Linked DNA regions of Macaca fascicularis. Each later gene encodes a partner of the first gene's protein in a complex. Links are inferred from orthologs where the notes say so. Each region holds a gene or a part of one and is shown on either strand. Other genes may lie near its edges.

Evidence for each region.
Region 2: the proteins of SAMHD1 (region 1) and DCAF1 are in contact, whole or in part, in a crystal structure (PDB 4CC9), measured with the Homo sapiens proteins. The link is inferred for Macaca fascicularis from reciprocal best matches to the Homo sapiens genes SAMHD1 and DCAF1. Residues at the interface, in NP_056289.2 of Homo sapiens: Ser616, Arg617, Val618, Gln619, Lys622; in NP_001336097.1 of Homo sapiens: Asn1090, Glu1091, Asp1092, Thr1114, Gln1116, Asn1132.

The regions. Positions count from the first base shown.
Region 1 is NC_088384.1:93,014,236-93,017,888, forward strand, and holds part of SAMHD1 (deoxynucleoside triphosphate triphosphohydrolase SAMHD1), read right to left. Parts: intron 3,239-3,653; coding exon 3,101-3,238; intron 1-3,100.
Region 2 is NC_088376.1:114,447,126-114,450,778, forward strand, and holds part of DCAF1 (DDB1- and CUL4-associated factor 1), read right to left. Parts: intron 3,140-3,653; coding exon 2,960-3,139; intron 2,392-2,959; coding exon 2,182-2,391; intron 451-2,181; coding exon 281-450; intron 1-280. UniProt on the Homo sapiens protein: Acts both as a substrate recognition component of E3 ubiquitin-protein ligase complexes and as an atypical serine/threonine-protein kinase, playing key roles in various processes such as cell cycle, telomerase regulation and histone modification.

The DNA.
Region 1 (3,653 bases):
GCCCAGACTGGAGTGCTGTGGCGCAATCTCGGCTCACTGCAAGCTCTGGTTCCCGGGTTCACGCCATTCTCCTGCCTCAGCCTCCCAAGAAGCTGGGACTACAGGCGCCCGCCACCACGCCTGGCTAATTTGTATTTTTTAGTAGAGACAGGGTTTCACCATGTTAGCCAGGATGGCCTCGATCTCCTGACCTCATGATCTACCCACCGCGGCCTCCCAAAGTGCTGGGATTACAGGCGTGAGCCCCCGCACCCAGCCTCATCTCTATTTCTACCCACTTTCCTTCCTTCCTTCTTCCTTTCCTTCTTCCTTTCCCTTCCCTTCCCTTCCCTTCCCTCCCCTCCCCTCCCCTTCCCTTCCTTTTCTTCCTTTTCTTCCTTTTCTTTTCTTTCTTTTCTTTCTTTCTTTGAGACAGCATCTTGCTCTGTCAACCAGGCTGGAGTGTAGTGGTGTGATCATAGCTCACTGCAGCCTCAGACTCCTAGGCTCAAACAATCCTCCCACCTCAGCCTCCCAAAGTGCTAGGATTATAGATGTGAGCCACCATGCATATAGCCAACTTTTTTATTTCCACTCATTCTAATTTCAATTCTAGTGAATTTTATAAATGTAAACAAATATGTCACTTTCCTGCTTAAAACCCTTCAGTGCTGATGCTCCCTACTGCTCTTGGCTGACAGGACTGTGCATAAAGCCCCAGACACCTCCACATTCTATGCTCCTTCCTGAAATACACCATATTCTTTCTCATCTTCTGAATTAATCCTGTGGTGTCTATGCCTCAACCCCTCCCCTACCGCCACCTCCTGCTGCCAGCCCTTAACCCAGACGACTCCTCACTCAACCTTCAGGTCTCAGTTTATAAGCCCTTCTTTAAATCAGCTTTTCCTGACCAACTAAGACCAGCTAAATCCTCTTTGTTTTTCCTCCTCTAAGACTGTGTACTCACCCTACACCCAAAGTACTTACCATGCCCCTATAATTATTAATTTTTGGAGTAAAATTAATAATTATTATTATCCCCAACTAGATTGTTATCCCCAACCTGAATGGGATCCATGGGTTATTAGGAACTCTCTATCTTACGTACTATTCCAGGTACCTAACAAGGGCATGGCAAAATACTCACTCAGTGAGTAAATGTACCAAATTTATAGTAGTTACCATGACACAGCCAAACTTTAATAGCCTCTCTTGACTCTCTGTTTCCAGCCTCTCCAAGTTCCAGTCTACCTGCAGCTAGAGTTCTCAGTGATTTAGTTTCAGTGATTTAATTTCACAGTACCTAGGAGAGACATACAGCTGACCCTCTGCATCCATGGGCAGATTCAACCAACTGTAGATAGAAAATGTGAGGGGGGGAGAAATGGATGCCTGTGTCTATACTAAGCATGTACAGAGTTTCTTCTTGTCATGATTCCCTAAACAATACAGTATTAACAACTATTTACATAGGATTTACACTGTAGTAGGTTTTATAAGTAATCTAGAGATATTTAAAGTATAAAAGAGGATATGCATAGGTCATATGCAATCACTACACCATTTTATATAAGGGACTTGAGCTTCCGTGGATTTTTCTATCTGTGGGGTCTGTGGGGGTCCTGGAGCCAGTTCCCCACAGATGCCAAGGGACAATTCTACTCTTATTCCCTCGGGTTTCACTCTAGTTGGAGCAGACACACATTCAGGCAGATCCTACAGAGCATGGCAACTCTTGAATGTGCTCGGTGATCCCTTCCCCACTGTATGGAGAAAAGAATCTCCCAGCCAATTATCCAAGGTTCTCCATAATCCAGTCCACTCTTCCCATTTAACCTCTCCACACTTAACAGTAAGAATTTTCTGGCTGGGCATGGCGGCTTCCACCTGTAATCCCAGCACTTTGGGGGGCCGAGGTGGGCGGATCACAAGGTCAGGAGATCGAGACCATCCTGGCTAACATAATGAAACCCTGTCTCTACTAAAATTCAAAAATTTAGCCAGGCATTGTGGCACGTGCCTACTTGGGAGGCTGAGGCAGGGGAATCGCTTGAACCCGGGAGGCAGAGGTTGCAGTAAGTGCAGTTGTCACTGCAGCCTGGGTGACAAAGCAAGACTCCATCCCAAAAAAATGAATGAATTAATTAATTAAAAAAAAATAATTTTCTACCCTGGACAGACAGGTCTCCTCATGGTCCCCTAAATACTCTCAGCTCATTCCAGCTTCATGCCTTTGTTTATGCTCCTCCCATTGCCAAATATACCCTTCATTCTCCCTGCTGCTCATCCAAAAAACCCTGCCTTCTAGATCTAGCAGATCCCGCCCCTTCACCAGGCTTCTCCCAGAGATCTCCCAACTCTCTGAATCCTCAGAGATCTTGCCTGGGTCATGCCGTGTGGCACTTGATAAAGCACCGACATCCTGAGCTATGTTTTCATGTCTCACCCTATACTTTGTTCCCTTTAGCACCTGACACACAGGGAGGTGTGAGGGAGAGTTCCAGACTAGGCAGTAAAGCACTGTTTCCCTGCTTGCCAATTATATTCATTCATTCAGTCAATAAATGCCAACTGGCCACATTGTCTGCGCAGACACCTACTATGTGTAGGTCAGTAAGAGACAATTTTAACAACATTCTCTACAGGGTTGGCAACTGTGGCTTGGCTCCTCTTCCCTCTACTCTCATTCTTGATCATTTAAATAGTTAACTAATACACAGAAGTAACCAGGTTTAGAAACATGAAGTCTATTATCAATTGTATGTTAAACAAGTTAACTACTCAGCTTTGGTAACCTCTGAAAGATGGAGACACTGAACAACTTTCCAGGGCCACTGGTGAACAACATTAGAAAGCATTATTTACATGTTCACATTTTTATCTTTTATTATTAGGACAATAATGCTAAACAGTATCCATTCCCAGCTCCTGTAGGAAGAAATCACTGGCTGACACAGATTCAGACATTTTAAAAGGAAAGAAAGTGAAAGACCTTATTTTCAAAACCATAACCAAGTGACTACAACTTAAATGAGAACTTTTCAGCAGATAGAATTATTTTTGGTTTTTACTTAAAAATAAAAAATTGTGCAAAGTTTGTGAGTAACAGGCCACCTACCTGAGGCTTGGTGAAATTTCTGTCTGCGCACCACTGAACAAAATGTTGTTTTGCGGCATACAAACTCTTTCTGTCCATCTTCTTACAATATACTCGAATCAGCTGCTCTGCAAATTTCTCTGGCAGAAGTCGTGAAACCTTTTTAAAATGAAGAGATTTCACTATCACCTTGAATTCACACATTGGAGATACTAGCTGGTCCCTAGGCTCCTAACTATTTCTTTTTTTTCGAGACAAGGTCTCCCTGTCATCCAGGCTGGAGTGCAGTGGCACAATCACAGCTCACCGAGGCCTTGACCTCCCAGGCTGAAGCAATCCTCCCACCTCAGCCTCCTAAGTAGCTGGAACTATAGGCATTAGCTACCATGCCTAAGTTTTTTATTTTTTATAGAGATGGGGTCTCGCTTTGTTGGCCAGGCTGATCTTAAGCTCTCGGTCTCAAGTGATCCTCCCGCTTCAGCCTCCCAAAGCACTGGGATTACAGGTATGAGCTACTGTGCCAGGCCCACTTTAATTGTAAAGATACGCCTTAAAACCTAATTTGCATATAAAA
Region 2 (3,653 bases), on another chromosome or scaffold:
TTAACCCCAGCTCTGCAGCTGTGGCCATGTAAATCACGTACCTTCTCTGACAGTACAGACGCTGATCCTTGCCTATTACGTAATATTTACAATCACCAAGACCATACATATGAACAAGTGTGCTGTAAATTAAAAATCATATTTTCATGCCTAATTTCTCAGTTTCAAGTCCAAAATTTCAATTCAAGAAATTTTGTTAAGCATATACCATGCACAAACCAACATCAACTTTAGTAAAAAGATGCATCAAACTTCATTTGAAATCTCTCTCTGGTCCCACCTTGCATAATAGGTCTTCCAATTGCAGGCAATAGAAATAAGCTGCAACAAGAGTTGCACACAAGAAAGTTTGAGGAAGACTTCAGCTGGTTCCCAATATAGCTGTGCTGGGCCATATTCTATCAAAAATTCCATCATTTCCACAATCTGTTCATGAGTATATGAGCATGCCTATAAGGAGAGATATACAGTATTATTATTATATATAACTCTACATCTGCCTACTACCTTCTTGAGCGCAGCTCACTGGCCAAGATATTTCATTTTACTTATTTATTTCAAGACAGGGTCTCACTTGGCCGCCCAGGCTGGAGGGCAGTGGCTTGATCATGGCTCACTGTAGCTTCAATCTCCCAGGCTCAAGCTATCCTCCTGTCTCAGCATCCCAAGTAGCTAGAACCATAGGCACATGCCACCACACCCAGCTAATTATTTTATTTTTCGTAGAGACAGGGTCTCATTTTGTTGTCCATGCTGGAGTGCAGTGGCACGATCATAGCTCACTGCAGCCCTGAACTCCTAGACTCAAGTGATCCTCCCACCTCAGCCTCCTGAAGTGCTGGAATTACAGACATGAGCCACCATGCTTGGCCAAGGTTTTAATTAAAAAGTAAATAATAATACCTTTCAAATTCCAAAATTCTTAAGTCAAAAGCCCATATGTGAAATAATGACCATATATTGATTAATCTTTTACCTTATTTATAATTAGACTCACAATATGATTTGTCCAAAAAGATAACAAGTTTCCTTTGTGCATATAAGTTATAGCTCAAGAGAAAGAAGCATCATGTGACTGATTTCTTTTCAATTTGTGACTTTTTTTTCTTAAGACTGGGTTTCACTCTGTTGCCCAGACTGGAGTGCCATAGCCTGATCACATGCAGCCTCAAACCCTCAGACTGAAGTGATTCTTCCACCGCACCCTCCAGAGTAGCTGAGGCTACTCATGCACCACCATGCCTTTTTTTTTTTTTTTTTTTTTTTTGAGACAGTCTGTGCCCAGACTGGAGTGTAGTGGTATGATCATAGCAGTCTTGAACTCCTGGGTTCAAATGATCCTCCCACCTCTGCCCCCGAAGTAGCTAGAACTATAGATGCACACCACAGGGCCCAGCCAATTTTTAAAACTTTTGTAAAGACAGGGTCTCACTATTGTTGCCCAGGCTGGTCTCAAACTACTGGCCTCAAGAAATCAGTTGGTGATTTTTTAAAAAACATGCAGCTACTCATCTATATCCCAAAACATATCAAACTCCACAATGATAGAGAAGTAGAGTTACAAACACATTTTCAGAAAAGAAATTCTGCATAGAAGGCAAATCATCTAGTACTTTTCATACAAAATAGTTCTTTGCCAGGTACAGTGGCTCACACCTATAATTCTAGCACTTTGAGAGGTCGAGGTGGGAGGCCTCTTTGAGCCCAGGAGTTCAAGACCAGCCAGGACAACATAGTTGCACCCCCAACTCTACAAAAAATTTAAAAATTAGCTGGGTGTGATGGTGTGTGCCTATAGTCCCCCAACTACTCAGGAGGTTGAGGTGGGAGGATCACCTGAGCCTGGGAGGTTAATGTTGCAATGAGCTGTGGTCACATCACTGCACTCCACCCTGGGCGACAGAGGGAGACTATCTCAAAAAGAAAAAAAGAAAGCTTTTTTATACACACTTCAGTTAATCTTTTAGTTCTAGAATCCCAGCAACTTACAACTGGAAGCAAAATAATTCCCTGAAATTCACCTATTACATCCATTTTTCAATTGGTTCTGCCTTCAAACAGGGAAGTATACTCCAACAATGGGCATAACACAGAGTCCACTGATCTGAATGTGAGTTTCAGGACTGAGATGCTACAGAGAGGGCTAACAGAACTTTCCCTTTCAAGACAAGGTCCTCTCACCTTGTACGGGGGTTGTGGGTGGACAAGAATGCCACCCTCAGTCCTCTGAAGTGACTGCTTCACTTGTTCCAATTTAATGGCCAGGTGAGCCTCAAAGTATTTGCGCAAGGCCATGCAGGTATGTTTCCCAGTTTGGCGGCTAGCAAATATTTCATCATCACTCAGAAGTGCACCCTGATCTTCCAAATTTAGAATCTCCAAAGTACTGATCTATTAAGATACAAAATATTGGGGTAAAAGAGGGGAAAAGGCAAGAGTTAAGAAAAAAGATTAAAAAATGGGAAAATATTTTAGTAAACTTTTTTTATTTTCCACACACATTCTGCTATGTATCAGTAAACTTTTATGCTTAACAATACTGACAAATATCAAACCATATTTATGTATATCTGTGTATATAACATGATAACAGTAGCTATATGAAAACAAAACATTAAACCCATACCGAAAAATGAACAAGCTTTTAATCACAGCAAAAAATATACAGGCATAAAACTATTGCTTTTAGAAAGATCAAGATCATCAACTGCCAATCCCCGTGATAAGATTACTATATCCAAGGCAAGTCTACAATGGCACAGTGTCCTCAAACTACTAAAGAAAAAGAGAAATTTGTGAAGGAAGGAAAAAAAAAAACAAAAAAAAAAACTTCACAGAAAGAATGGCAGCAAAACTCCTCTAACCAAAAGCTTCCTTTCTTCAAGGGTGTGCTGTTAAAGGGCAGCCAAGACAACCAGGACCCTTAATCCTAGTGAGAAAAGCACTGAAATAATCTCACCAAGTTCACCAGACGACGAAGACCATCATAGCGGTCAAAGAGCTCCAAGACGGCCCGAAATGAGAAGCAAATTGAAAAAAACATGGTAGCATGGCAGCATCCTGAAGCATGAGAACACTCCATTAACCACAGGGTATAGTTCACCACATCAGACAGAACATTGTGGGGATGCATGCAAACCTGCAAAAAAATACAAATAAAGCAATGCTTTTAAATTGTGGGCAAAGGAGCCTCGAACAGGATGAAAAATTCACCAGTATAGATATCTGCAGAATACAATGACCATTTCCAATCAAGTCACTCTTAGTACAAAGTTTAGGTTATAATACAAAGGCAATTTTAGAACACAATCCATTCCGAACCTGAAAACGACCTAAATTTAGATAAATATTTAAATACAACCTATACTTACTAAGTGCCAACAAATATTTACATTATTTACTGCTCACGAGGGCTCCATTATACAGGTATTAGGATTCTCACTTAAAAGAAGAGGAAGAGGTAAGGAACTTCTCCAATGTGATAAAAGTGGCTCAGATTTCTGATCCTAAGTCTAGGAGTTTGGTATTCATTCTCTGGTTAATTCACACACATTTTGATGTCTACTATGGGTCACAAAATGAAACTGTAAAGCATCCCCAGGTTTCCTTGATATTTTTTTCTCTATCTTAGCCATAAGTAATTTTGTATGTAC